7 linked regions of the Oryctolagus cuniculus genome follow. The main gene of each other region encodes a partner of the protein of the gene in region 5 in a complex. Links are inferred from orthologs where the notes say so. Each region holds a gene or a part of one and is shown on either strand. Other genes may lie near its edges. The genes, in order: TMEM231, MKS1, B9D2, AHI1, CC2D2A, TMEM107 and TCTN1.

Region 1 (4,097 bases), on a different chromosome or scaffold from region 5:
ATATGGGGTGCTGGCCCTGCAGGCGGTGGCTTTACCCACTACACCACAGCACCGGCCCCCACACTGACTCCTGATCCTGCAACTGGAGTCTTCAGGGCCTTTGGATGGAGAACTTGGCTGTGGACCATTGGTTTTATTATTTATTTTTCTTTTTTTTTGTTGTTTGCTTACTTTTTTTTTTCTTTTCCTTTCTTTTGGATCATAGGTTTTAAAAATCCTTCCACCCTGTTCAAAATACTGGCTTGGCAGAGAAGGCGGTGGGCAATCAATTAGCAATAAACCAATGTTATCTTTGGGAAGTACGACTTAACCCACTGGGGCAGCACTGTGGTGCAGCGGGTTAAGCCACCATCTGCAGGGCCAGCATCCCTTGTGGGTGCCAACTGAGTCCTGGCTGCTCCACTTCCAATCCACTTTCCACCTGGGAGAGCAGCAGAGGAGGGGCCAAGTGCTTGGGCCCCTGCACCCCAGTGGGAGACCCAGTTGAAGCTCCTGGCTCCTGTTTTTGGCCTGGCCCAGTCCTGGCTGCTGCGGCCATTTGGGGAGTGAACCAGCGGATGGACGATCTCTCTCCCCTTCTCCCTGTAACTCTTTCAAATAAATTATTAAACCTTAAAAAAAAAAAAAAAAGGCTTAACCCACTGCACAACACGTCCCAGAGGGGAGTGCCAAGTCCCAGCTGGTCGGCTTCCACTCCAGCTTCCTGCTCGGGCATCCTGGGAGGCAGATGATGATGGCCCAGATATTCAGGCCCCTGCCCTTAAGTGGGAAACCCAGAGGGAGTTCCTGGCTCCTCGGGCCATTTGGGGGAGCGAACCAGCAGTTGAAAGATCTCTGCCTCCCTCTGTCACTCTTTCAAATAAATATTTTTAAAAAGAAATGTATCTTGTTTAGTAGCTCCCTCTGAAACCGGCAGCCGAACCTGCACCCAATACAGGTAACAATGTACGTAGTAATGACCCTGCCCGCCCCAGAGCCGAGGGTTTGGGTCCTGTGCGCTGTCCTGCTTCCGGAGCCACAGAACACAGAGGCGGAGCAACCCGGCCTTGGCCTTCGTCCAGGACCAGGTCGAGGAGCGAGGCCACGCGTGTGCGACCTGCGGGCATCAGCGTGGACCACTCAGCCGTCCTCAGCCGTCCCGAAGCAAAACACGCAACGCCCCCCTCTCGGTGGCCCGTCCACTGGCTGACCACGCCCCTCTCCAGGTAGCTCCGCCCCTTCTAGAGGCCCGCGCCGCTACTATTGGTCCTCCTCCCGGCGCCGCCGGTTGCCGTGGAGACCACGACGATGGCAGCCGGGAACAGCCAAACTTGGTCGTCCCTTCTCGGTTTGCGTAGGGGTCTCGGCGTGCGCCGTCCATGGCGCTGTACCAGCTCTACTCCCACCCGGCCGAGCGCGGCTACCGCGCGGGGCTCTGCTCCAAGGCAGCGCTGTTCCTGCTCCTGGCCGCCGCGCTCACCTACATCCCGCCGCTGCTGGTGGCCTTCCGGAGCCACGGTGAGCTTGCTAGGCCGGTGCGCGCCACCGCCTCCGCTCGGGACGGCCTGCCTGACCTGTCCCCCTCTCCCTCTCACGCCCTTCTTCTCTCAGGGTTTTGGCTGAAGCGGAGCAGCTACGAGGAGCAGCCGACCGTGCGCTTCCAACACCAGGTACTGCTCGTGGCCCTGCTGGGACCGGAGCGCGACGGCTTCCTGGCCTGGAGCACCTTCCCCGCCTTCAACCGGCTGCAGGGGGATCGCCTGCGCGTCCCGCTCGTCTCGGTGCGTGGCTCCCGCCTGGAATTCCGCTTCCCCCAGACGCCCAGGTACCCGGGCAGCGCTGCGTGCTGACCCGGGCCGGGCACGGTGCGCGCTCGGGGTCCCGCGGTGTCGCCGCGTTCACGCGGCGCGGCGGAAGCTGGGGGTCGGGGGCGGGCGTCTCCGGGCAGGACTGACCCTCGGAGACCGGGCGCCCCGCACCTGTTCCCCGGCAGGGCCCCGGCGGAGGGAGCCTGCCCCACGTGATCTCAGAGGCTGCTCCAGCGTGCATCTGTCCGGGGTAAAATTGAGACTTTTTCTTTAAGAGGGCCGAAACTTCTAGTTTTCCTTCTTCCACGTCCTTGAGGTGAGTGGCCTACAAGACAAACTCGTGTAAAAAATGTTCCCAGCAAAAAGATGATAGGTCGTATGAATAACTAGAAAGTTTGTTACAGATAGTTTTTCTCTGGTTACTTCTGAAATTTATTGGCTTTTTTTTTTTTTTAAGATTTATTATGTATTTGAAAATGAGAGTTGCACAGAGAAAGGAGAGGCAAAGCGAGAGAGAGAGAGGTCTTCCTGATGGTTCACTCCCCAGTTGGCCGCAACGGCCAGAGCTGCACCGATCCAAAGCCAGGAGCCAGGAGGTTCTTCCAGGTCTCCCAAGTGGGTGCAGGGGCCCAAGCACTTGGACCATCTTCTACTGCTTTCCCAGGCCACAGCAGAGAGCTGGATCGGAAGTGGAGCAGCCGAGTCTCAAACCTGCACCCATAAGGGATACCGGTGCTTCAGGCCAGGGCGTTAACCCGCTGCGCCACAGTGCCAGCCCCTATTGACTTATTTTAATTAGGAAAGTACCCAGTTTCCCACGTCGGTGTCAGGGGCCCAGGTACTTGGGCCGTCTTCTGCTGCTTTCCCAGGAACAGTGGCAGGAAGCAGGATTGGAAGTGGAGCCGCCAAGACTTGAACCGGTGCCCATAGGGGATGCTGGCGCTGCAGGCAGAGGTCAAACCCACTGTGCCACAGCACTAGCCCCAGGTTTTTTCTCCACATGTTTATATTCCTCTCTATCATGTGCTTCTGGTCATTTGAGTCTAAGAAATACCATGCAGGCTTGAGATAATTGTGAAGACAAGGATAAACCATTAAGTTTCATTCATTCATTGTTTTTACGGGTTCGTGCAACACAGCTGCTGTTGGCCTCTTAGCTCTGCAACCAGAAACCAACCACTCCCTTCAGTGCACCGCCCTGGTCCCCCCTTGCATCTGGCGTGCAGTTCCAATTTTAATGAGAAGCCAAAACTAACTCTTAATGTTTATGGTACCCATACCATGAGATCACTTTCATACTGGGTAATTTTGGGGCTGGCACTGTGGTACAGCGGGTTAAAGCCCTGGCATTCCATATGGTCACTGGTTCGAATCCTGGCTGCCCCACTTCCGATCCAGCTCCCTGCTAATGTGCCTGGGAAAGCAGTGGAGGATGGCCCGGTGCTTGCGGCCCTGTATCCATGTGGGAGACCTGGAATAAGCTTCTGGTTCCTGGCTTCAGCATGTCCGAGCCCTGGCCATCGTGCCATTTGGGGAGTGTACCACCGAATGGAATTTTTTTTTTTTTTTTTTTTTTTGACAGGCAGAGTGGACAGTGAGAGAGAGAGACAGAGAGAAAGGTCTTCCTTTGCCGTTGGTTCACCCTCCAATGGCCGCCGCGGCCGGCGCGCTGCGGCCGGCACACCGCGCTGATCCGATGGCAGGAGCCAGGAGCCAGGTGCTTCTCCTGGTCTCCCATGGGGTGCAGGGCCCAAGCACCTGGGCCATCCTCCACTGCACTCCCTGGCCACAGCAGAGGGCTGGCCTGGAAGAGGGGCAACCGGGACAGAATCCGGCGCCCCGACCGGGACTAGAACCCGGTGTGCCGGCGCCGCTAGGCGGAGGATTAGCCTAGTGAGCCGCGGCGCCGGCCTCGAATGGAATATTTTCTTCCCCTACCCCCTACAGCCAGTGCGCCACAATGCTAGCCCTGGTTCTTAATTCTTTTTTTTTTTTTTTTTTTTAGATTTATTTATTTATTTGAAAGTCAGAGTTACACAGAGAGAAAAGGAAAGGCAGAGAGAGAGAGAGGTCTTCCATCGCTGGTTCCTTCCTCAATTGGGCACGACAGTGAGAGCTGCACCAGTCCAAAGCCAGGAGCCAGGAGCTTCTGCCAGGTCTGCCACACAGGTGCAGGGGCCCAAGGACTTGGGCCATCTTCTACTGCTTTCCCAGGCCACCGCAGAGAGCTGGATTGGAAGTGGAGCAACTGGGACTCGAACCAGCACCTGGGATGCCGACCCTGCAGACGGTAGCTTTACCTGCTATGCC
Region 2 (4,428 bases), on a different chromosome or scaffold from region 5:
ATGAGTACAGAATATCAGGGTACAAACTCCTTCCAGAATCTGATAAATGTTATGAACACTTCCCAGAAGTCAGAATTCTAGGGAAGGGGTTCATGGACCCATTGAATCCTATTCATGAATCTCAATTTTAAGAATTCTGATTTATGGAAATCAGTAAACAAAGAGAAAACATAAAGACCCAGTTAACCTTTAAAAACATAGTACTAAGTATGGTTAGTTACACCAATAGCTTATATTTCTACACCATGCAGTACAGTAACTAGTTTACATGTAATTATGTCAGACTGACTTTCCTAGGTGGTTAGGCTTCAAAAGGCTGGAATCCTAATGCTTTTATCACTAACTAGAGTGAAGCCTTAGTGAATTCTTAAGCCCTTGGCCTTCACTAACTTCATCTGTTAAATGGGAATAAGGGGCCGGTGCTGTGGCATAGCGGGTAAAGCAGTTACCTGCAGTGCCAGCATCCCGCTTGGGCACTGGTTCTAGTCCCGGCTGTTCCACTTCTGATCCAGCTCTCTACTGTGGCCTGGGATAGCAGTAGAAGATGGCCCAAGTCCTTGGGCCCCTGCACCCGCGTAGGAGACCTGGAAGAAGCTCCTGGCTCTGGGCTTCAGATCAGCAGCTCCAGCCATTGCGGCCAACTGGGCAGTGAACCAGTGGATGGAAGACCTCTCTGTCTCTCTGCCTCTCCTTTTCTCTGTGTGTAACTCTGACTTTCAAGTAAATAAATAAATCTTTTAAAAAAATAAATGGGGATAAAAATGGACTTAGGGTTTCCATGAGGATTGGGAACAATGCCAACAAAGTTCCCAGGCTAAATTAGCTCCTACCTAAATGGTGCTATTTATGGAGAGTCCTTGGCAAGGCACAAACAGCAGCTATGGCACCCCAGGTGTTCAAGGCCATGCAATCAAACTGATTCCTGAATTCAGGGGACAACTGCTAACCCTGTTGGGGAAGTAGCAGATGTTAAAGGGAGCCAGCTGAGGTTAGGGCATGTCCTGAATGTCACTCTGTGGGCTTCTCAGAGGGCCAGGGCAGCACAGCAGTTAGTTTAATAATCTGGAACTAACACACAGGGGAGGAACCTGTGCCATGACTACATCTCTTCTTTCCTGCTGCTGTCTTCCTTGTTTTAACTGTTGGCCCTCCCTGTTTTTTCCTTCTCTGGCCCAGAGAATACCAACACAACGACTAATAAGTAGGACACCCGCACCCCCCCTCCCCCGCCCCTTGAAGAATGTGCGTTCGTGTCTGGGGAGTGCCACCACCTTCCCTGATTCCTTTGGGATTAATGGGTGCATTCTTTCAGTCTCCTCCGCCCGTTTTTCTTGCGTTCAGCGGAAGACAGTACGGCACAGTGGGAAAACAGGTCTAGTCTCATCACCCTGCATTTACGCCAAGTGGGCTGACGGCTGTGCCTGGCCCCTCATTTGTACAGCGCCTTAAGTCCCGCCTCAGGAGTGAGTGATCCTCGTTCGCACAAATGGTAAAGCGGACATTCGCAGGCTCCTGCACTGCCCGCTCTGGGGCGCTAGGGGGCGACGCCGCGGCGGGAAGGGCGGGTTGCGTGCGTAGCGTCTCCGCCCCAGCGTCTGCGTTGCCAGGGGAACTGGGGGCGGTGTGCTTTCCGGCGCAGTCGTTGCGCGTCGCAGATATCATGGCGGAGACCGTCTGGAGTACTGACACCGGGGAAGCAGTGTATCGCTCCCGGGACCCTGTGCGCAACCTGCGCCTCCGGTAGTCGCGCCGCCCCAGCCCGGGGTGCTATGCTTTTATGCCCTTCGAGCCTGAACTTGTCGTTCTTCTGAGGCCCCCACTTGCGCTTACAATCCCGATCTTCCTCCCTGGTCTCTCTACATCGCTCTGCATTCCCCAGATCTTCTGTACGTAGGGCTTCCAAGCTCGCCTTCCACACCCAGCCAGGTCGTTTCAAGGCCTGTCGCTCTCCGATTCCTCAAGCCCTGGCTCCGCAGTAGTCCTCTCACCCTCTCTTCCCCGTAGGGCCCACGCCCCACCCGGCGCCTGCCCTGTGTTTTGTATTTCCCATGCTTGCTCTGCGTTGTGTGTGTTGTAACGCGTATTCGAGCTTCTGTTTTCTTCACAGAGTCCACCTGCAAAGAATCACCTCAGGCAGCTTTCTTCATTACCAGCCTGCGGCCCAGCCTCGGAAGGACCTCATAGACTTGGCCACCTTCAGGCCTCATCCCACTGCCAGTGGGTGTCACGGTGGAGTCGCAGCCCCCTGGGGACCTGGGCGAGGGAGGGCCTGGGGGGTAGAGGTTCCCGTTAGGACAGAAGAGACCCAGGCCTGTGGTGTTCAGAGAAAGCTGCACCTTTTTTTTTTTTTTTTTTTTTTAAGTATTTTTATTTCTTTGAAAGACAGAGTTACAAAGAGAGGTAGAGACAGAGAGAGGTCTTCCATCTGCTGGTTCACTTCCCAAATGACCACAATGGCCAGAGCTGAGCTGATCCAAAGCCAGGAGCCAGGAACTTCTTCCAGGTCTCCCATGCGGGTGCAGAGGCCCAAGGACTTGGGCCATCTTCTACTGCTTTCCCAGGCCATAGCAGAGAGCTGTGATTGGAAGAGGAGCAGCCGGGACACGAACCGGCACCCATTTGGGATGCCGGCACTGCAGGCTGGGGCTTTAACCCACTGTGCCACAGCGCCGGCCCCAACTGCACCTTTCTTACCTAGGAGAAATGGAAGGCAAAGAGATTGTGTTGCTTGCCTAAGGTCACATAGTTGGAGCCTGCACTTGAACCAAGGTGGTGTTAACTACTTCATCGTGTTATTTGTGGAAATTGAATAAGATACGATTCCTGCTATCAAGATACTGAGGCAAATTGTGGTCCAGTATAGTGGCAAAAGACAGATAGCGTATATCTGATGTTATAAATGGGCCTGGCAACCGTACCATTTATGGCTTTTTGTTCGTTTGTCTAAGAAAGATATGCTCAAACTCTACATATGCATGTAAATACTTTTAAAAACAATTTTACGATTGAAGACTGCTTGCAGACTGTGCGTTTGAACACCCACAGTGTTCTTGTGGTTCTCCTTATCTGGGAAGCCATAGGTGTGAGGAACAGAGGCTGGTGCTTGTATTGGGCCATTAGTGTTTCTGCCTTTTGTTTCTCTGCACTCAGAAGTATTCCTCTGTGAAATGGGGGTTTTGAAGCTGTGTCTCTGAAAAAGATACTCACCCCTGGAGTGTGTTAGATCTGGTTCTTTAACAAATCATTTATTTGCCTTCCCTGCCCTCTCCTGACACTTGGTCTCTGACATGATTGTGATTCTAGCTGTATGGCTTCAGGAACAATTAAAATGAAAATGCCAGGGTTCTTACCTAGCAAATGCAGGCAGCTGGCATTGAAGAAGAGCTGGCTGGTCAACCTATATCCTAGGCTCAGTTCCTGACAATGAGTTAAATTGACTACTTCCTGGAAGGCAGAACTACATTTTATTCAAATTAGAATAGTGATTAAGACTTTGTGGGTTTTAATCTTGGCTTCAACTCCTGCTAACTCCAGTGTATCCTTTGTCTACATTGAATGCTTAATAAATCACTGAACTCCTGCTGGTTTTGTGGCAAACATAAGAGTAGGGGCTTTGGTTACAATCAACCTCAGAGCAAGAAATGGTGGTGACGTAACTCTGTTGTCTTTGCAGGTGGACATCGCCCAGAGGAAGATGAAGATGAGGAGGTGGTCATTGGGTGGCAGCAGAAGCTCTTTAGCCAGGTGAGCCGGTGTCGTTCACTGCGTGGTCTCCCTCCACCTGGCTGGTTGTACATTGCCAAAGTGATTTCTGGGATGGTCGTAGCAATTTGTACCTCCCTCTGTTGTGTTTACAAGGGCAGTGTAATATAGTGACCGCCACCGCTCAGTGTTATGACCCTGGGTGAGGCACGTTTCCCCACCGTGGACCCTACGCCACCTATAACAATGCGGTTGGACTAGAGCTTCACCCCTTTGCTCTCTAACATTCTTGGGTCCCCTGCCCTCCATTGGTTTAAATCTATGAGAATTAATTATGGAGCTATGTCAGATAATATCAGCTCTCTAGGACTGATTTGGTAGTAGTTCTAGGATCAGAATTTTGAGGTATCTCGGATGTCTGTTTCCTTGTGGCGACCTCAGTTTGAAGTAGATCTGTACCAGAATGAAGCAGCCTGTCAGAGCCCTTTGGATTACCAGTACCGGCAAGAGATCCTGAAGCTGGAGCAGTCGGGGGGCAGGAAGAACCGACGAATCTTTACCTACACCGACTCTGACCGCTACACCAATTTGGAGGAGGTATTGTTCTTCCCAAGGCCCTGTAGCTTCCTTCTTTGCCTCCCCTGGCTTTTTGGCTTCACTGGGTTCTGGGTGCTAAATCGGAAGCCTGGCAAGGGAGGAGATCCATAGGCTGTCTGGAAACTGCCG
Region 3 (4,314 bases), on a different chromosome or scaffold from region 5:
TGCTGGTTCACTCCCCAATTGGCTGCAACGACTGGGGCTGACCCGATCCTAAGCCAGGAGCCAGAAGCCTCTTCCGGGTTTCCCACGTGGGTGCAGGGGCCTAAGGACTTGGGCCATCTTCCACTGCTTTCCCAGGCCACAGCAGAGAGCTGGATCGGAAGTGGAGCAGCTGGCCTTGAACTGGCGCCCATATGGGATGCCGGCGCTGCAGGCCCTGGCTTTAACCCACTGCACCAAAGTGCCAGCAGGTAGTTTGATTTTTTTTTTATTAAGTATTAATTTAAAAGGCAGAGTGCCAGGTGAGAGAGAAGAGAATGAAAAAGGAAATCTGCCATTTGCTGGTTACCTCCTCAGAGGGGGCAACATCAGGGCCTGGACCAATTCAAAGCCAGGAGCGCGTGCTGCATTCCGCCCTCCAAGCTCCTGAGTCCACTGCCTGCTGTCTGCTCAGACGCACCCCAGGAATCTGGGACTCAGCGGGCGCTCTGAGGTGCAGGCGCCACCAAGCCGGCCCCTGCGGGCCTATTGAAGACATCCATAGACGGTGACTCCTTCAGTCTGGAACAATCCCACAAGCTGGGTGCTGTCATTCACCCTGATGGGGGACAAACGGGAATAGATGCAAATGACGCTGGCCTCAAGTCTTCATGAAGCAGAAGCCCTGTGTACCCCACCCCGTGTGTCCGCGAGGACCAGGACCTGACGCCCTGCAGTCCTCGTTACCAGGGCTGCACGGAGCAGGCACGCACGACCGTGGCGTTCCCAGCTGTCTGTCAGGAACCTTCTTTCTCGGATGGCGCTACCTGTGTGCATGCTGTCCTGTGCACCTTGCTGCCTCCCCGGTCCTCCACGTGTGCAGCCCCCGCGGTAGGAGGCGCGGCTGGGCGGGACTCCCGGTCCTGAGGACCAGGCTGCCCTGGACGCGGAGGCGGGGAGAGGCGCTCAGGACCTCAGGCGCCCGCGTGCACCCGCCCCACGGCCCGGACCGCTGGGCCCGGGGACGCCGCTCGCTCACAGCACTGGCGGCGAACGTGCAGTCGCTGGGAGGGCCCGGACCGCTGGGCCTTGAGCAGCCTGGGGAACTCCGCAAGGGAAGGGAAGCCCCGCCCCAGCCTCTGAGTGTCTGAGAAGAGGTTGTTTCCGAAGTCGAGGCCGGGGGATGCACAGAATGACCCGAGGGAATTCCCCCGAGCTCAGGCTCAAGTCTCTCATGTGGGGTTCAGGACGGGAGACAGGTGTTCTTTAGGGGGAGGAGGCGGGCCGCGAAGCTTATTTTGACACATTTCCTGGAGAGGCTCTGCAGCACAAACAGTCGGCGCTCAAACTTCCCGGCCACACTCAAGATGGCAACTGCCCGACCACGCCCCCAACGGCGGATCCCGGGGCCGGGGCTTGGGAGAGGCTACGGAGAGATGTCCATCACGGCATTGCCCCGCCCCCGAGGACAGCGAGCACCAATCGGCCGCGTGCAGGGCGGGGGCAAGGCCAGGGGAGGAGCCTGCTGTTGTCCCAGCAACGGCCAGGGAGCCTGAGGCGAGGGCGGTCGCGGAGGTTCGCGCCTTAGCGCCCTTGCTGTCAGGGAGGTCCCACGGGAGGCGCGAGGCCGGCGTCGCTGGCGCCCGCGAAGAGGACGGAGTCGGCCCAGAACCAGCATCCGGCTGCCGCATTCGCTCCCACTAGCCGTTAAGCTCTGTGAGGTAGGAGTGACGCATGCGCAACGAGTAGGGGCGGGGCCGAGGTGTTCGGAGGCGGGCCTCGATTCAATACGCATGCGTCGTCGAGCCTGTGGCGGGGCTATCAGCCGCGGGGAGGCGGAGCTTTGATGGCTGTGGGTGGAGCTCTCGGCCCCTTAGCGGGACTTAGCCAGGTCAGGAAGAGGTTTAAGGAGGGCATAGTTAGGCACCGGTTCCCAAGTCTAGGGCTACTCCCCCCATCTCCCGGGGAGACAGAGTCGGTGGATAACTCTGCATCCTCAGAGGGTTGACAAAACCAGGTTGGTGGCCTTCTGCCCCTTGCTTGGGCCTCAGTTTCCCTACTCAGAGCTGATTGTTTCTTTTCCCTCCCAGCGCCATGGCTGAGGTGCACGTGATCGGGCAGATCATGGGGGCCACCGGGTTCTCGGAAAGTAGCCTCTTCTGCAAGTGGGGCATCCACACAGGTATTCCCCCCAGGCCTGGTCACTGCCCACCAAGACCCCGCGCTCTCCCTGGACCCTCCGCCCCACCCCGGGTCCTCCTCTCCCCATGGGCTTTCAGCACTCCCGGCCCTGGCCAAGGCTGGCCGCGTGAGGCCCGCACTTCCTTCCTGCCCCGTCTCCGGGGACCCTGGCTCCCACCCTCGGCATGCATGGCCATTGACGATGATGGGCTAGGGGGAGACCCCATCCACACGCTTCATGTCAGAGCGCTCCTGTTAACTCCACTTGCTGCCTTGGGGGTGTGTCCTGGGATCCTCCCCAGCTTTCTCGTTCTTTGACTAGCAGCCTCCATTTATTGAGTTCTTACTGTAAAGTAGAAGTTTGCACCCCAGACTTACAGAGGAGAGGCCACATCCTGTCGTCAGAATGCCTTTCGCTCTGAGAAGGCAGCAATCATCCAAGTCCACACGGCCCAGCAGGGACTTGGAGACCCAGTGTTTCTGTAGGTCTGCATGGAGGCCAGACCTTGTAGAGGTGCAGTGTGATGGCCAGGGTCATAGGCAGCCACATCTGGGTTCAGATACTAAGTCCCCATGTATGTATCTGTGGCCTCTGGACTTGACCTCTCCAGCCCTCGGTCTCCTTGTCTGAGAGGAACGGCACGGTGTGGATAGCAGCTGAGAGGCGGTGTGGCGTCGAGGTTAGGAGCACAGACTGCCTGGGTCCTAACCAGGTGTTTATGTTTTTTAAGGTTTATTTATCTATTTGAAAGGCAGAGTTACAGAGGCTGAGGCAGAGAGAGAGAGAGAGAGAGAGAGAGAGTCTTCCATTCGCTGGTTCATCCCTCAAATGGCTGCAACGGCCAGAGCTGAGCGAATTTGGAACCAGGAGTTGTTGGGTCTCCCACGTGGGTGCAGGGGCCCAAGCACTTGGGCCATCTTCTCCTGCTTTCCCAGGCCATAGTAGAGAGCTGGATCGGAAGTGGAGCAGCTGGGGCTCAAATGGGGCCCATGTGGGAAGCTGGCACCGTAGACAGCCTCTTATTAATAGGTGACGTTAGGGCCTTGTTTGTGCGTCTGCTTCCTTGTGTGCACATGGGAGCAGTAACAACGTGTGCCTCGCGGATCTTTGCCAGGCCTAGGGGAGCATGCGCAGCACGCAGAGCAGGGCTGGCTGGTGCTGTGTGCCTGGCTCGCGGGTGACTCCGACAGGGTCCCATTAGTGAAGCCCAGGCACGTGGCTGCCCAGCCCCAGTAACAACCTATGAGGTAGACGTGGCTGCGTCTCGGGCTTGGGTCCCTTGGACCTGACTTGGATGGGTGAAGTCGCAGGATCAGAGTCGGGCTCAGGAGTCAGACTCCATGTCTACCCGGGACCCCAGCACTCACCTGCTCTGTGATCCCGGGCTGCTGTCCTTTTCTTGGGGCTGTTTAAGTAATCTTGTGTCTACGCAGCCTGACTCAGGGCTTCCCTCACCAAGGCCAGAGGGAGTCATGCTTGGCTTTTATTATCGCAGGTGGCTTTGGGGCATTGAATCCAGCAGGGAGCTCAGAGACAGTGGCCGAGGGGCCTGGTCGCTGCAGTTGGACATTTTACAGACTTCTGCGCTTGGGGATCTTTGGGTGCTGTGGTCACTGCTGTATCCCCAGAGTGGAGAACAGGCTTGGCATACCCTAGGTGCTCAATAAATGTTCATGGAATAATTAACCAAGTGACTTCCTTCTCAGAGCCTGTTTCTGTACTTGGAAAATGGTAATCATAGCACACATAGCTTCTAGGGTCACTTAATTGTCCCAAAAAATATGTATCGACCACCTTCTGTATACCACGCACTGGGGATCCCGCCATGTGCATGGGCCAAGCTCTCCTGAAGCTCATTCTACGAGCGTCAGACACTATATAAGCCGCTGAAGAAACTTAACTCAGTGATTTCCAGTGGCGACAGTGCTGGGGAGAGAGAGAGGCAATGGCTATAGAGGGCGGGTGTTTAGCTCGGGGTTAGGACCTGCACATCCCGCCGCACACCTGGCTGCTGGCTTAGCTCCCTGCTAATGCCAGCCCTGGCAGGCAGCAGGGATGGCCTAAGTGACTGGGTTCCTCCCGCTTACGTAGGAGACATGGGTTGTGTTCCCAGCTCCCAGCTTCAGGGTGGCCCGGTCCCGGCTGTTCCAGGCGTT
Region 4 (4,390 bases), on a different chromosome or scaffold from region 5:
TTACTCAAACACTGGGAGGATGATGGCAGGCTGAAGAGATTAAAGCAACATAAAAAGCCAGGAGTAGGTTTGCTGGATAGGAAGGTAGACATTAGCCTATGGGAAAGGGCCCAAACAAGAAGTACATGTGGAAAGGAAGGGAGCAGCCTTAGAAGCAAGCCTTGGAAGGCACCCAGTGTTTCCAGAAAGTCCTATCCATATCTGACAACCTTGTAGGGGTTGCCAGCCTTCCCTCCGGAGATCTCTCAGGACACTCTTCCTGGCCCTTTGCCAAGGTGGCTCTTAAATCTGGCAATAAAACCTTGCGAGGAATTTCACGAACTTCACCCCCAAAAAACCATTTGCCCAGCAATATCTGCCCCCTCGCCCACTCCCCAAAAAGGGAGCGGGAAGGCGACACAGCAGAAAGGGACCCCTAACTCACAGTAACCCCAGTCTGCATGTAGGCAATGCACTTGGTTTCTTTGGCGAGCCGAGCTGCCCACCATCTCGGATGAACTACCTCGTGAAACTTGGCTAGCTTGCTTACCGCTACTGTCTCCCACCTGAAATTCTTTTCTTACAGGATACACAAAATTCTTCCAGCCAGTTTTGGAGGGAAAAGTAGCACAGTTTGGTAATATTTCTTTCTCATCGCCTCCTCAGAGGTTCTGGAGAAACACTTGCCATCATTTATAAGATGCAGTGATGCCAGTGAGAATGGAGAAGCTGGCAACCAGAGAAATACACAAACTCTCTGGCCCTACAAATGAGGCAACAGGTTTCTGGTGCGTGGCTGCCAACTGCAGAAAACGGCCTCTCACTAAGCGTGGACGAGTAAGGCGTCTGGTGTTTTTCCATCCCTGGTGACTCAGAACCAAAGATGGCGCCTGTGGCAGAAATCTGCAAGGTGGGAGGGGGTCATCAGGTGTAGAAAGATGACGTTTTAATTTCTGTTCTACTTTCAAGGCAACTCAGCGCCAGACAAATCGTGGATAAGTTTTCCCGAAGACTCTGGAGTACAACTCCTCATTCTCCACGCTCTCAACGCGCGTTTCACTTTGTGGGGGCGACCACGTGGGGTGCGACAAGTCTGTTTCTTGGCTTCCTCGCTTCATTCATTCAAGGTTCCTATCTTGGGCGGCTTCCAAGACCGCCTCCCCGCCTGCTTTTGCCCCACTTTTTCCCGCGCTTGCTTTTTTCCGGACGGAGGCCAAGCTCCGGCGGCTCTGAGGCGGCACCCGCGCATTCCCGCCTCCCCTCTGCTGGCCTGGGGATGAGATTCCTGCCCCTTCTAGAACCGCGGAGGCGCGGCCCCGGGGCGCGCGCCCGGCGGCAGGCTGAGGGGCGCGGGCAGACAGGCACTGCAGCAACTCCGGGCCCGCGGCGGAGGCGGAGAGAGCCTGGGGGCGGGGCCGCGGGAAGGGCGCTCCCGCAGGGCCCCCGTCCAGGCCTGGAGCCGGGCCGCATTGGTTGTCATGGGAACGGCGGCGTAGGCCGGCGCTGACGTCACCGGCGGCGCGCTGCCCGCACTGCGGCACCGAGCCCGCTCTCAGAGCCGGTGTTGCTGGCGGCTCCCGAGGCTGCGTAGGCTCCTCGCCCTCCCTGCTTGGGGCTGGGAGCCGCTTCGCGCCGCCCGGGGTGTAGGCTTGTGCGGGAGACGCGGCTCTGCGCTCTGGGTGAGTATCGTGTGGGTGCGCTGGTGGCGGGAGCCCGGACCCGGGTGTTCGGCCTACCTACCCCGGCCCCTCTGGAGGGGTGGCGGCGTTGGGGGCTCCCTCTGCGCCTCCGCAGGCCGAGCGGCCCAGAGCGGCCCAGCGCGGCCCGGGAAGGGGGCGACTTCTCCGGCGTCGGAGCGTCCGGCGTGCTGTTCCGATGCTGCCTCTCCCAGCCCGGATTCTGGCTCAGATGCGTAATAAGCGTGTTTATTTCCTTATAGAGTGTCAACCTGGCGCTGAATGTTGAACCTGTGAAGTGCCTTCTTAATGACACCCAGAAAAGGTGACGGATACGTTACGTTTCTAAGAAAAGAGTCAAATTCTGTTAGAGGCGTTTTGATAAACACAGAAAGGGGATGAGAGCCTTCCCGAGTGTCAGCGCGGCGTGTCAGCCTTAACCGGGAAAGTGGAGACAGGGCTTGCTCTTCTTTGGAGAGAGAGATGCTAACAGTTCCTTCACCTGTTGCGTTTACGCTCGCTGTTATTGCGAGCAAGAGCGCCAGTTAGGAGGATTCCGGGACGTGTTTAAAAGTCTCTTTGGAAGAATTGCAGATGCCACAGGTGTCTGAAACCGCATTTAGGATCTTTATGAAGGCGATTGTTGATTTACTAAGGGTTCTGATTTCTGTTCCTCCTTGGTACAGGTTTGGAGCCGGAGTGAATTCTGCGAGCCTGTCTGCTTCTCCCTCCCCCTTGATCTGTAGTCACATATTGGCTGCTGATCAGGTGGTCAGGGAGAAAGACGAAACGTAATCTCGGCTAAATTTTGCTACGCAGTATCTCTTAGAAGCTTTTGTGAAAGGGTTTGTGAGGGAGAAATGTTAACATCACGGGGTATATGAGATTTGGGAATATGTTTCCAAGTCAGACTTTAAATTTTGAAGCTGTTACTAATCAAATATTAATCATTAATTCTTCTAATGTGTTTGCTGTACATACTAAATAACATTTAGAGATGATGACTTGTAATGTTCTGTTATTAAATAGTATCTCTTATTTCAGTGGTCATTAAAATATTAAATGATAGTAAATGTAAATACAAAATTTACTTAATTGTGTATTGTGTAATTATTTTTAAAATAATTGTAGACATCGAGCACCTGCAGTTTACTGATTATGTTGTTTTCTGATATTTCTTTTTCTCCTTATGATTAAAATAGGGGCCACTTTAGTTTCCTAGACAAGGAAGAAACCAAGGCTTAATGAAACTGGCTTACCCAAGGCCACATGAAGTAGCATGACAGGAGCTCAAGCCTGAGTTTTTCCTATCTGGAGCCATAATTGCTGCCTTTTAAAAATGGAGATACTTATATAAAGATAGTGCAGGCTTGTTCTTCCAAAAGCCAGTAGTTGGGGGAGGGGGTTGCGGGATAGAGGGAGCAGCCAGTTTAGAACCATTTGTGCCAGGGTGAAAAGGGAAGTTGGAAGATCCAGCTGTGCTTTGGGGGAAGGTGCTCCCCAGGGAAGGTGCCATTTGCATTTAGTGTCAGAGTGTCAAAGCAGGGCAGGCTTTTCTCAGGAGAGAAGTGGGTATGTGACCTGCTACAAAGGCAGGAGAGAGTTTGGCGTTGGTCAGGCCCTGCAAGTAGTTTCACGTGGCTGGAGCCCAGAAGCTGTGTGAAGGTGTGGCGGTGAAGGGGCTGTGAGGAATGGCAAAGGATCCAGTCATTAATAGTCGTCTTCTCAGTGGTAAGGACTTGCCAGTGCTTTCCACCAGTCGATTGGGAACTGGTGAGGAATTTTAAAGCAATCACACACCACCATCACCTTTGTGTTTTAGAAAATGATCCTGAATGCAGTGCAGAGGGGTGGAGGGGAGGGTGGTCATGAGAAGCCTGAAAACAGTCTCAAGCAGACATCAAAATCCTAACAGTCTTTTCACCCCTGAAAGCTACTGCCTCATACTATTGCATCTCGAGTGGGAAGAAGACAGTTGGAAGCAAAATTCTAGAAAGAATTGCCTGCGTACCTTTACCGCAGGTCTTGCCTTTCATTCCTCAACCTGTGGCTCCCAGCTGCTGCCCCTCCATAAACAGCTTTGGCACACGTGACTTCATGATTACAGATCCAGCGGGCACTCCCAAAGTGTGCAGCAACTGTAGACACCACACAGCATAGACCTTTCTGAAAACTCTTTCCTTCTGTGATACTTTTCTGTCCCTGTGTTTCACCTACCTCCTCGTTCTAGAATTCAATCTTTGGCTTTTTATTTTCTTGCAACCATTGTACAAATATCTATAAATTATTCCCAAACCATCAGCCTAGGTCTCCTGCTGGATTAATGGATTAATATATTATTTTGCCTCCCAAACATAATATGATTATATGTCCTTTGTGTTCTCTCTCATATATATGTATATATCACACAGTAGTAAAGCAGCTCTCTCTTGAAGCATGTACCATGCAGTAGGCTTTGTGCCAACAGTTTTCCTTGCATATACTCATTTAATCTTTACAAAAACCCAGTGAATGATATTATTATTCTCTTTTGAAAGATGAGGAAATTGAGGTCCTTGTCAAATGGAGCTGGAATTTGAACCAAGGACCTGACGGTGGAATTGATGTTTGTAGCTACTTGGTGTCCTTCAGATACACAGCTCAAACTGCCCCACACAATCCCCTTAGGAAGTTCCTGTTAAAATTGTAGCTCATATTTGTTGGTCCTTGTTCTAAAGTACTGTTTAAATCATTTA
Region 5 (3,640 bases):
TGGAACTGGTGCCCATGTGGGATGCTGGCACCACAAGTGGCGGCATTTCCTGTTTACAGAGCCAGCCCTGATTCATTATATTGATTCATTTTAACTCCTAACATTCTAGCATGTAGCAATTTTTCTCCTGTCATTCCAGTTCACAAAATCTTGTATATGTCATCTTCTCACATACGGTAAAATTTCTCTAGGGCAGTATTTTTTGAAGTTTTTTTTTTTTTTTTTAAAGGTTTGATACACAGATGCATGTGTATTCTGATTTGTTTGATAGGAAGAAAAGTTTTAGTAAACAACTCAGGCTTACCACTTACCGTCTTCCACTGGCCAGGACCCTCTAAATTATAAGCCTCTAAGGGATCATATCTGACATTTGATTTCATGTTTGATTAGCAGTCATGAAACTGAATTAGCAAATTGATCACCATTTAAAAAAATGGAATATATTTTGTGGTATTATGGGAATTTTTTATATCAAAACTGTTTGACATTAAAATGCATATTGATCTTTTCACATCTACATAAAGACATATGAGGAGCTCAGGTAACTTTGAAAAACCAATATGGTTGTAGACTTACCCAGGAGTGGGATTAAGGGGAAAAATATAGCTACATAGTATAATACACTTTATTTTCTTTTCTATATTCTATTATTATTAGTAAAAGAATTATACCTGGAGCAGATGCTGTGGCATAGTGGGTAAAGCTGCCACCTGCAGTGCCAGCATCCCATATGGATGCCGGTTCAAGTCCTGGCTGCTCCACTTCCAATCCAGCTCTCTGCTATGGCCTGGGAGAGCTGAAAAAGATGGCCCAAGTCGTTGGGCCCCTGCACCCATCTGGGAGACCTAGAAGAAGCTTCAGACTCCTGGCTTTGGATTGGCCCGGCTGAAGCCGTTTGGGGAGTGAACTAGCAAATGAAGACCTCTGTCTGTCTCTACCTCTGCTCCCTGTAATTTGGCCTTTCAGATAAATAAATCTTTAAAAATAAACAAAAAATTGTACCTGAACACTGGAAAGGCCAGGGTATGGAAGGCTTCTTGAAAAGAAAGATTTCCAGAGCTTGGGCTTGGTAACATCAAAATTTATCCTTAGTGGAGAATCATATTGTTGAATATTAAACCAAACCTAAAAAAACAATACCATATTAGCATATATGTTAACCAAAATACACACACGTCTCTGGTGTGTGTGCATATTGTATGGACACATAGACTGTACATGTTTTCTTTCCTGACCCTGCTTTTCCAGCTCCCAAAATTAAATGTGTACCTCTTTGTTTCTACAGCCCTCCGCACCTGTCTTGTTGAGGCAGTGTGGCATGTTGGTTGTGGAACTAGACTACAAGCACTTGAATTTTGACCCTAACACTTTTCAATTGTCTGACCTTGGATGATTTATCTAACTTTTGTTCCTCAGTTTTCTCATCTATAAGAATGGAATAATAACAACTACTTCATAAGGCTAAGCGATTCAGAGTTGATTTACCTGTACTTATTAGAATAATGCATAGATATGTAGTAAGTGCTCAATAACTATTAGCTGTTCTGTCATTATTTGTCAGTTTGTAACTGCCTGGTTATTTATCTGCATCTTCACTATTGTTTTAAACTTTCGCCTTGAGAATGTTCACCATAGGCGTTACTTGCCATTCAGTCTTTAGCACTAGCTTACCTCGTGGCATATTCTAGTCATATTGAATGATATGTCTAGCACAGATTAAGTTTTCATCTAACTGGTGTTCAGTCCTAGGTTTATTAATCGGGTTAAGTAGTGAACGAAACAGTTCTAAGGAGTATCTAGGCCGGCGCCACGGCTCACTAGGCTAATCCTCCGCCTGCGGCGCCGGCACCACCAGGTTCTAGTCCCGGTCGGGGCGCTGGATTCTGTCCAGGTTGCCCCTCTTCCAGGCCAGCTCTTTGCTGTGGCCCGGGAGTGCAGTGGAGGATGGTCCAAGTGCTTGGGCCCCGCACCCCATGGGAGACCAGGAGAAGCACCTGGCTCCTGCCATCGGATCAGCACGGTGCACCAGCCGCAGCACTCCGGCCATTGGAGGGTGAACCAACGGCAAAGGAAGACCTTTCTGTCTGTCTACTCTGCCTGTCAAAAAAAAAAAAAAAAAAAAAGTATCTAATGAGTAATGAGATGATATATCGGAGGCAGGCATTGCAGCACAGCAGATAAAGCTGCCTTTCCCATAAGGGCACCGAATTGAGTCTCTGCTGTTTCACCTCCAATCCAGCTCCCTGCTAATGTGCTAAAGCAGCAGAAGATGGTCCAGGTACTTGGGCCCCTGCACCCACGTGGGAGACCCAGAAGAAGCTCCTGGCTTCTGTCTGGCCCAGCTTTGGCTGTTGTAGCCATCTGGGGAGTGAACCAACAGATGAAAGATCTCTTGTCTCTCCTTTTCTAACTCTGCTTTTCAAATAAAATAGAACTTAAAAAAAAAAAAAAATGTGGGGCCAGCATTGTGGGTAGAGCCACTGCCTGTGATGCTGGCATCCATATGGATGCTGGTTTGAGTTCTGGCCGCTCCACTTCCAATCCAGCTCTCTGCTGGTGTGCCTGGAGAACAGTGGAGGATGGCCCAATTCCCTGGGCCCCTGCACCCACGTGAGAGACCTAGAAGAAGCTCTTGGCTCCCAACCAGCTCAGCTCAGGCTATTACAGCCATTTGTGGAGTGAACCAGTGGACCAAAGAGCTCTCTCTCTTCCTCTCTTTCAAGTAAATAATCTTCAAAAAGATACAGCAAACAAATCAGCAAGTAAGTACATGGGATATAGATGGTGTTGAAGGATAAGATAGATTGTATCATTAGCTTCAATTCTCTTCCTCTATGGCTATCTTTTTTCAGGTTACTTTGCAGTTGCTTCCATTAAGAAAGATGAGAAACACTTCCCTGCCACTTGGCTTTGGTTTGTTGTTGTGTCACCCCTGAGTCTAGGCTAAGGGGCTTTGCCCTGTTGTGCCTCTGCCACTGTCAGGGCCCTGAGTTCCATAGTAAACATGAAGCAGAGCTGCTCAGCCGCAGCCAAGTTTCCCAGCTAACCCACAAATCTATGAAAATAGATACTTGAAGCCATTTAGTTTGGAGTTGGGTTTTTACGATATTATGATAATAATTAAATGTGCACAGGCCATGGAGAAAACTAAGTTGCAGGAACAGAAGAAATTTTGATGGGCAAGGAATTTTTCCTGGGGGAAAAAAAAACCGACATTTGATCAGAAATGCAAGAAATGAGGGAGAAGTTTGTGAATCTAATCAGTAAAGGTGGGAGGGGTATTGGGAAGGCATTGGTGGTCATTTATGCAAAGGAAATAGCAAATGCGAAGTGTGTTTGATTGTTGAATAACAAGGAATACAAAGTGGCTTTAGAGGAGTGGGCACGTTGGAAAGATAACAGCAAAGGAAGGGGAGAAGGCAGGGGTAGGCAGGGTGGATGTCAGATCAAGGAGGCTTTGTAGGCCATTTTGAAGGTTTTGGCTATGATGTATTGGGAAGACAGTAGAAGAGTGACAATTTGTCTTCTGTCTCAGCAGAAATTTGCTTACTGTTTGAAACTAGAAAGAAGTGGGTAGAGGCAAGAGGTGAAGTCTGCTGTTAGGTAGGGATGGAATAATGCTGGTGACTTGGAGGAAAAT
Region 6 (4,085 bases), on a different chromosome or scaffold from region 5:
CAACAGCGACGGGCTATGGCAGGCCAGTGGTGGAGCTCCCAGGCCTTGTGCGACGGCGGGAGTCAGCAGCCCTGCCTTCTGATTTTAACAGGCCCACGTGTAGCGGCCTGCGCTGAGCCTGCACTGCCGAGACCCCAGGCTACCCTCACCCCACATGGAGGGGCCAGCCTGCACCCCCGAGGGGAGGTCAGAGCAGGCCCCCATGGACCCCACAGGAATGCGGACAGCGACTTGATCCTCTCTGCTGGAATCACTCTCCACCAGGAGGCCCGCAACTGGAGAGTCAAGCGCCTCCCTCAATCCTTGGCTCTTTTACCCCCTCCTAGAGGATAGTGGGGTGTGTGTGTGTGTGTGTGTGTGTCTGCCTCCGCCTCACCCCCATTTACCTCCAGGGCCCGGTGCACAGCGGCATCCACAACTGTTTGAGGATTGTGTCAAATCCCTGCACTGCCTAAGCAGAGGCGGGGCTCCTGGGGGGAAGGGGGTCGCTGAAGGGAGTCGCGCTGGAAACGGGTCGTGGGGGCAGAAAGGATACAGATGAGGCTCTGGGTGCTGTTGAACATGGACACTCCTGAGAGGAAGCCGGCCAGCTCCACGGCAAAGAGGCCCAGGGTGACCGAGAGGGCGGCCACCAGCCTGCAGAGAGGAAGGGGAGCGGCTCAGGACCCCCGGCCTCCGGGACTCCCACCGCCTCTTCCTTCGAACCCCCACCCCCCCAAGAGCTCACTGCACGTCCTGCTTCTCATACTCCTCGGGGGTGAATCGGAGGGGCAGGCAGGCCTGGACGTTGCTGTCCTGGGGAGCGGGCAGAAAAGGAAAGGAAGTGAGAGAGGCCGGCTGAGACCCCGGGCGGGGTGGGCGCGGCGACCACGGCGAGATGGCGACGCGGAGTGGCGGCCGTGGGTCTTACCCGCGACCAGAATAAGGTGATGACGACCACCAGATGCGCCAGCAGCGTCAGGAAGCGGGAGGGCACGAGCCCCGAGATCCGGCTCATGCTCCTCAGGGCCGCGGGCGGCGGCGCTGGGAAACCTCTCCCGGCCCGCGGCCTTCGCGCGCCTCAGGGGCCGCCCCGTTGCCTTGGTAACTGCGTACGCGGACCGTGCGCCTCGGGTTCTGAAGATCTCGCGAGAGCCGTAAATTCTCGAGCCGCCGTCGTGCAAGTGCGCCGTGTTCGGGGACCCCGCTGCGGCCGCCAGCCTCCTAACCGGAGGACTACGTCCGGGGGTTCGCTGGCTGCTCAGGTCCGGAGCGGCGCGGCCCCAGGCTGCATTGCCGGGAATGGCCTGTCCGCGGAGGAGGTGCTCGCGGACTGCTGCGGCCGGCGTGCCGGTCTTAGGTTGGAGGCTCAGACGCGGTCTTCCCTTTCCGTCCTCGTAGCTTCCTTGTGCCCTGAGCCCAACGTGGAACGTTCACTGGACCTACCTTGTCCGGCAGGCCCGTTGTCACGGAGCCCTTGGTGGTCGGAGCACCCCAGACATCTTTGCCGGGTTCGGTGAGGGATTTGCATAGTGCAGAAGATGGTGGCAGCCTCAGCCTAGGGACGGCCCCGCCGGGACTGGACAGGGCGAGCGTGGACGAAGCGTCCCGCACAGGAGGTTTGGAGCTGCCTGGGACGCAAGGCTCAGCTCTGGTTCCGGGGTCTCCGAGGTACCGGCCGCACGGGCTCCAGGAAGACCCCTGCTGCTTGCGCACACCCAAGGGGCTTCCCTCCCCGCTTCTGAGGAGAGTAACCCCAGCCTTCAAGTCAGCCTGCACTGCAAAGCCTAGTGGTAGGCAGCCCAAAAGGAGGTGGAGCGTGGTCGCGGCAGGCCTTGCAGCCACCAGGCGCGACGTGGTCAGATTCGTATTCTCCACGACCCAGGTTGCAATATGGAGAGACTAACGAGGAAGCCATAGAAGTATCCAGAAAGGACAGGGTGAAGCAAAGACGATGGAGCAAAGCAGAAGGATTGGGGAGAGGGTCTGGCTCGGGGCCTGTGGGTGGGTGAGGAAAAGGGAGAGTCAAGGTGACCCAAGGATTTTGCGTTCAACAGCTGGAGGTTTGGAGCATTCTGCTCAGTAGGCGTTCTGCCTAGGAGACGGGCTAGACAGTACAAACCGAGTTCTCAGGTCCTTAGGTGTGGACTCATGAACAGGGAGTGGGCAGCCTATGTCTGCTTTGTCCTTGTCCACAACCTTGGTTTATAGAAACTTGCCTCAGAGAAAGTCGTTTCTTGCCTGGGTTTTAGAGCCTGCTGGTGGCCATGGGCTGTGCTGCGGGTGACCAGCTGTCCTCCCGTAGGTGGCCACTCACTCCAGGGCTGGATTCGGTATCTCAGCATTTGAATTGGTGACAAAAGAACTTGCAAACTTTTCATTTTTTGGCATCCTAGGAAATTTCAAACACAACGTAAAAATGAAACAGTATAACAAACCCCTGGGAGGGCCACTGCTCTGCCTCAACAGTTGTCAGCACGTGGTCAGCTTTGTTGCCCCCTCCCCTCCACCACAACCCCACACGTGTGCATTGGGGTACAAATAAAGTCCACTTGGCTGACATGTCTGAAATCTCTGTTAATCTTGGGTTTGCCCTCCTCCCCATCACCTCACCTTCCTTCTTTTCTTGCTGAAGATACTGGGCCACGTGTGGCGTCATTTCATTCTCTCCTGGCACTGTGTTTCCTGCAAACTGATGGTCAGGTCTAATGGTTGATCTATGTGTCATTCAGTTTTCTGGTAAGATCACATCCCGAGGGATGGTTTGTACTTTCTGTTCACCTCATCAGGAATCCTGCTTGTCTGTGTGTCTGTCTGTCTGTGGTGCTGAAGTCTGAGTGGTGGCTTCGGGTGCGGTCAGGCTGAGCCACCCGTGATAAAATTCTTCATCCATTCTCACCTAATGGTACCACGGGTCCTCATTGCCTAACTGCATGATTTCAATAGCGATTGCAAAATGGGGATGGCCTAATTCGAGCCCTCTTCTGCATCTACCAGCTAGAATTCTTTTATCAGTAAGAATTTTCCATGAGATACGAGTCATACAGGAAAGGCAGGATAAATGGGTCCTTTTTTTTTTTTTCCATTATTTGCCAGTTTTCAGAATCCCGGTTCAGTAGTGTCCTACAAACACAACTAGATCTTTTTAGTAGCATGGTGACCACATAGATTTTAACATCTTTTGTGTATTTCAATCTACCTTTTTTTTTTTTTATAACTAAAGAACATTTATTTTCCACTAAGAGTTTGCCTTGAGGATGTAACTAAACTGAGCCACCCCCCACCCCATCTCTAAGGGTTAGTACAGTGACTGTTATAAAGCAGATCTCAACAGTCTGAAGCTCTGGAACCAACATTAACTGACAAAAAAATTCCATCTAAATCCTCATAAAAATGTTTAAGTAAAAAAAAAAAAAAAGGGAAGAAAAAGAAAAGAAAAAAGGGGCAATGGGGGTTTCAGATTGAACAACATTCTCACACTTCATCTGATACATTCAATCTGGCTAGAGTGTACCAAGTGGAAACAGGATCACTATAATACAAAACTCCCACTACAGCACGCTGTACACACCTGTGTTCCAAGCCCACCCCCATCCCCCTACTGCTTCCACTCCATTATTTTCCCGCCTGTTGGGCCTGCCGGCGGAGGAGCACATAGATCTTCTCTTTGATCCAGTCTTTGTTATAAGGCTGGTATGTCTGGGTATCAGCCCGGTAAACAAGGCAGCTGAGGTCTGCCAGATCATCAATAAAATCAAACAACTGACTGATATCGTATGTGATAGACGGACTGTTGGGATTCATTCTTTTCAGATGTTCCTCATACATTTTACAAATACCTTCCATGCATTCATTCACAGATTCATAGTCAGCATAAGTTCTGCCTTCTGGCCTCTTGGTAGGCTGTACCAGCAAAATGGTATGAGACATCGCGCCAAACTCTTCTCTTTGCAGCCGCTGCCGACACCGCCGCCGCACACGAGCTTCTCATTCTACCTTTTTTTAAAAGATGCATTTATTTTATTTGAAAAGTGGAGTTACAGAGAGGAAGAGGCAGAGAAAGATCTTGCATCCACTCGTTAACTCCCCCAGATGGCCACAACAGC
Region 7 (3,640 bases), on a different chromosome or scaffold from region 5:
CTCCTGCCATCGGATCAGCGCGGTGCGCCGGCCGCAGCGCGCCGGCCGCGGCGGCCATTGGAGGGTGAACCAACGGCAAAGGAAGACCTTTCTCTCTGTCTCTCTCTCTCACTGTCCACTCTGCCTGTCAAAAAAAAAATTTAAAAAAAAAAGGGGGGGGGCAGTTGAAGGCCACAGGCCGGTAGTCTCTCCCTCTCCTGGGCCGGGTGGTGGGGCCCCGCAGGGAGTGAGGTGGGCAAGTCTGGGTAGGAGCCTGGGTGCTGTGAGCAGACTGGCCTGGATCTGTAATACTGAGTTTGCCGCATGAGCAGTGTTGCCTGTGGCCAGCAGTTTGGAGGTCGGAACCTCTTTCCTGTGCAGTGGGAATGACAGTCACAGTACAGACCTGGCCCTTGTCGGGAGGGGGAGCTCGTTTGGTCCCTGGCACAGCAGCTAGTGTTCCTTTCCTAAATGGGGCTGCTGCTGGCCATCCTGGTGGTACGGGTCGGCCATTCCTAACCTGGACTTTGAGTGCTGATGTAATGCCACAAGTGAGAAATCCCACACCTTGTGATGGGCTGCAGGTGCAGGGCAGGTGTTTGGCCTAGCAGGTAAGATGCTGGTTAGGATTCCTATAGTCTGTATTAGAGCGCCTGGGTTCAAGTCCCGTGTATGGCTCCCGATGCTAGCTTCCTCCTGATCCAGACCCTGGGAGGCAGCAGGCGATGGCCTAAGTGACTGAGCCCTGCCATCACGGGGGAGCCTAGCTGGAGTTCTAGGCTTCTGACGGGCCTGGCCCGGCTTTACCTATTGTGGGTATTTGGAGAGTGAACCAGCAAACAGGAACTTTCTCTGTGTCTCAAAAACCAAACAAAAGAACAGGTGCAGTAAGAACATGATATAAAATTACCTTCAGCTGCGTTTGAGGTGTATATGAAATTGTGTTTGGACTCGGCTCCTATCCCCATTATGTATATGCGGCCGTCCCCCAATCTGAAACACTGGTAGGGGCTACTCAGCAAGCACCGCGACTTTGTCCCTGTTTGCGGGTGTTAGGTGAGCCTCCGGGCATCTTGGGGTGCAGTAAGCTGCATGTGAGGCCTGTCTCCAAGGTGGCGGCTTCCTCCCATCCACATCGCCGTCCCAGCCTTTGTTCCTGTTCCACAGCGCAGCCCACGCGTGAGCTTTTAATTCCAAAGTTCCCCAAAGGGTTTAATGGAAATTGACTTCCTACAAATAGGCTCCTGGGCACGTGTGAGTCTTCTGCCCACCTTTTCTTTTGTCTCTGCCGTCAGCGCGTGGGCCGGGCCCTGTCCATCACCAGAGGCGCACTCCCCAGCTTATCCCCTAATCACCCAGTGTTTCTCTGTCACAGTTCCTCGGGCTCATTATCTGCTTAGCACATGTATAGCAAGGGCGCCACGGGGTGAGGACCAGCTCACGAGCTCCGATCCTGCCCTCCCCCGCAAGTCTCCAGCAGAGACCCAGGATCACTCAGTCCTGCTGACTCCTGTCCTTCTCTGCTGCCTTGGTGAACGCAGCCAGTTGCCGGCCTCTTGGCAAGCTGGGAAGACGTCCTGTTCTTTTTTGCCCTCCAGAAGGATGGCAGCTTGGGAGGAGGGGCAGCAGCGCAGGGTGCTGGCCAGGGTGTTCCTGGCTTTGGCACCGCTTTGGCACCTGCCAGCAAGTGGCCAGGGTGCTCCGAGGGCCTGCAGTGGGTTCTGTTCCGGCCACGTAGGTAGCAGCTGCATGAGCGTCTCCACACTTCTGTCACCCACTGCCTCCTATCCGGATGGCCTGATACACCTAGGGGTTGCTGGTTCATTGCCTAAATGTAAATGGCCACAACAGCCAGGGCTGAGCAGGCTGAAGCCAGGCGCCTGGAACTCCATCCAGGTCTCCCACGTGGGTGCAGGGGCCCAAGGACTTGGGTCACCTTCCACTTCTTTCCCAGGCACATTAGCAGGGAGCGACATCAGAAGTGGAACAGCTGGGACTCAAATCAGCGCTCATATGGGATGCTGGCACTGCAGGCTGCAGCTTAATGCTGGCTCCATTTGCTTGCAAGTTTCTTTTCAGATTTTATTTGAGAGGTAGAGTTACAGGGAGAGAGGTCTTCCATCCACTGGTTACTCCCCAAATGGCCGCAATAGCCAGAGCTGGGCTGATCTGAAGCCAGGAGCTTCTGGGTCTCCCATGTGAGGGCAGGGGCCCAGGCAATTGGGCCATCTTCCACTGCTTTCCCAGGCCATCAGCCAGGAGCTAGATCAAAATTGGAGCAGCCGGGATTTGAACCTGTATCCATATGGATGCTGGCATTGCAGGTAGAGGCCTAACCTACTATGCCACAGCACAAGGTTCTTAAAGGCAGTGCCTTGCGGGCAGGTGCCAAAGTCAGGAAGCCCACTTAGCCACTCATGTCCTGAGGTGTGTCTAAAACAATCTATATCATGGAAAAATTCCAGGCACACTCAGAAGTAGCACAGTGTAACAGAGTCCCCATCTGCCCGTCAGGCAGCGTCAACAGATACCACGGCTGCCCGCTGAAGCAGGAGGGAGGTCTGGAAGGCACACTTGCCTGTTTTCCCTTGGGGCTGACCAAGCAAAGAGCCTGGGGCAGAGGCCACAGATCCAACTCCTGTAGTGTTGAGCCTCAGCTCAGGCAGCTTGACCACGGCAGGCTCAGCGCACGTGAGTGGTTAGTGTCTGACAGCACACGAGCACTGCCCACGTATCCAAATATCACAGTGCTGCCTACTGAAGAAATTAGGAAACAAAAATAAGAAGCCAGCCCTTGGGTTTCCGCTCAGCGCATCTTGGCACGATGAGCCTTCAGGTTCTGTTCTGTGAATACCCCCATTCTCTCCTGGCCCCTCGTGCCAGCCAGCCTCTCGCAGTACCTGCGAGGCAGACAGCTGAGAACAGGTAGCTGAAGGCCCAGCAAGCTGTTAAGGCCCCAGGGTTCCCTAGCTGGCTTGGGGTTGCCGTGGCTCCCAGCAGAAGCAGGAGGGGATGGGAAGGCACGCTCTCGGTGTAGAAGTGTTTGTGCCTGAGCTTCCCATCTATTCATTCTGTTGTTCAGAACACCTTGGATGTGTGAAACATCTCCTAATCAGAACTCTGAACTGCAGGTTCAGTCTGAGGTTGTGCAAGATTCACACTGATGAGTGGCGTTTTGTTCTGCAGGATTCTTGCCAGCTCCCTGTGGCTCTGGTTATAGAAGTGAAGTGGACTAAATACGGGTCCTTGCTGAACCCACAGGCCAAAATCGTGAACGTGACCGCGCGTCTCCTCTCCTCCTCGCTCCCTGAGGTGCGTCTCCCTGTAGCCTCGAGCAAACTCAAGTGTGGCTGGGGAGTTTTAAAGGATTGTAATTTAACAATTTGGATGCTGAGAGAAATTCAAGTCATTCTTTGCCTTTTACTTAGTTTGAGCATGGTTTTATTTGCATTAGTATTCTTGTTTAGACTTGATATTGGATGTCAGGACAACCTGAGTAAAATGGTCCCTCACAGGCAGCTTAGTGGCCAAGCAGCCCTTTGTGTCCATCGGCCTCGCCAGCAGGCAGTGGTTGAGCGAGGGAGGGAGCGAGAGATCCCGTGTGTTCTCCTGGGCGCAGGCCGGGGGCAGGACTTGCATCTGCCTTTTTGCTGCAGACGCA

The links.
Region 1: CC2D2A (region 5) and TMEM231 share a complex: the UniProt entries of both Homo sapiens proteins name them as parts of the tectonic-like complex. The link is inferred for Oryctolagus cuniculus from reciprocal best matches to the Homo sapiens genes CC2D2A and TMEM231.
Region 2: CC2D2A (region 5) and MKS1 share a complex: the UniProt entries of both Homo sapiens proteins name them as parts of the tectonic-like complex. The link is inferred for Oryctolagus cuniculus from reciprocal best matches to the Homo sapiens genes CC2D2A and MKS1.
Region 3: CC2D2A (region 5) and B9D2 share a complex: the UniProt entries of both Homo sapiens proteins name them as parts of the tectonic-like complex. The link is inferred for Oryctolagus cuniculus from reciprocal best matches to the Homo sapiens genes CC2D2A and B9D2.
Region 4: CC2D2A (region 5) and AHI1 share a complex: the UniProt entries of both Homo sapiens proteins name them as parts of the tectonic-like complex. The link is inferred for Oryctolagus cuniculus from reciprocal best matches to the Homo sapiens genes CC2D2A and AHI1.
Region 6: CC2D2A (region 5) and TMEM107 share a complex: the UniProt entries of both Homo sapiens proteins name them as parts of the tectonic-like complex. The link is inferred for Oryctolagus cuniculus from reciprocal best matches to the Homo sapiens genes CC2D2A and TMEM107.
Region 7: CC2D2A (region 5) and TCTN1 share a complex: the UniProt entries of both Homo sapiens proteins name them as parts of the tectonic-like complex. The link is inferred for Oryctolagus cuniculus from reciprocal best matches to the Homo sapiens genes CC2D2A and TCTN1.

Annotation. Positions count from the first base shown.
Region 1 is NC_091449.1:57,934,758-57,938,854, reverse strand, and holds the start of TMEM231 (transmembrane protein 231), read left to right. Parts: upstream 1-1,255; 5' UTR 1,256-1,358; coding exon 1,359-1,497; intron 1,498-1,590; coding exon 1,591-1,760; intron 1,761-4,097. UniProt on the Homo sapiens protein: Transmembrane component of the tectonic-like complex, a complex localized at the transition zone of primary cilia and acting as a barrier that prevents diffusion of transmembrane proteins between the cilia and plasma membranes.
Region 2 is NC_091448.1:33,643,718-33,648,145, reverse strand, and holds the start of MKS1 (tectonic-like complex member MKS1), read left to right. Parts: upstream 1-1,583; 5' UTR 1,584-1,660; coding exon 1,661-1,740; intron 1,741-2,107; coding exon 2,108-2,217; intron 2,218-3,673; coding exon 3,674-3,744; intron 3,745-4,143; coding exon 4,144-4,299; intron 4,300-4,428. UniProt on the Homo sapiens protein: Component of the tectonic-like complex, a complex localized at the transition zone of primary cilia and acting as a barrier that prevents diffusion of transmembrane proteins between the cilia and plasma membranes.
Region 3 is NC_091449.1:13,268,654-13,272,967, forward strand, and holds the start of B9D2 (B9 domain-containing protein 2), read left to right. Parts: upstream 1-1,469; 5' UTR 1,470-1,697; intron 1,698-1,771; exon of another isoform or gene 1,772-1,993; intron 1,994-2,066; 5' UTR 2,067-2,070; coding exon 2,071-2,158; intron 2,159-4,314. UniProt on the Homo sapiens protein: Component of the tectonic-like complex, a complex localized at the transition zone of primary cilia and acting as a barrier that prevents diffusion of transmembrane proteins between the cilia and plasma membranes.
Region 4 is NC_091436.1:33,406,634-33,411,023, forward strand, and holds the start of AHI1 (jouberin), read left to right. Parts: upstream 1-1,519; 5' UTR 1,520-1,658; intron 1,659-1,918; 5' UTR 1,919-1,980; intron 1,981-4,390. UniProt on the Homo sapiens protein: Involved in vesicle trafficking and required for ciliogenesis, formation of primary non-motile cilium, and recruitment of RAB8A to the basal body of primary cilium.
Region 5 is NC_091433.1:10,626,620-10,630,259, reverse strand, and holds part of CC2D2A (coiled-coil and C2 domain-containing protein 2A), read right to left. Parts: intron 1,126-3,640; coding exon 1,003-1,125; intron 1-1,002. UniProt on the Homo sapiens protein: Component of the tectonic-like complex, a complex localized at the transition zone of primary cilia and acting as a barrier that prevents diffusion of transmembrane proteins between the cilia and plasma membranes.
Region 6 is NC_091448.1:52,667,213-52,671,297, forward strand, and holds the start of TMEM107 (transmembrane protein 107), read right to left. Parts: upstream 2,818-4,085; 5' UTR 2,593-2,817; intron 2,372-2,592; 5' UTR 998-2,371; coding exon 911-997; intron 796-910; coding exon 733-795; coding exon of another isoform or gene 728-732; intron 637-727; coding exon 536-636; intron 1-535. UniProt on the Homo sapiens protein: Plays a role in cilia formation and embryonic patterning. Requires for normal Sonic hedgehog (Shh) signaling in the neural tube and acts in combination with GLI2 and GLI3 to pattern ventral and intermediate neuronal cell types.
Region 7 is NC_091452.1:8,300,964-8,304,603, forward strand, and holds part of TCTN1 (tectonic-1), read left to right. Parts: intron 1-3,165; coding exon 3,166-3,291; intron 3,292-3,635; coding exon 3,636-3,640. UniProt on the Homo sapiens protein: Component of the tectonic-like complex, a complex localized at the transition zone of primary cilia and acting as a barrier that prevents diffusion of transmembrane proteins between the cilia and plasma membranes.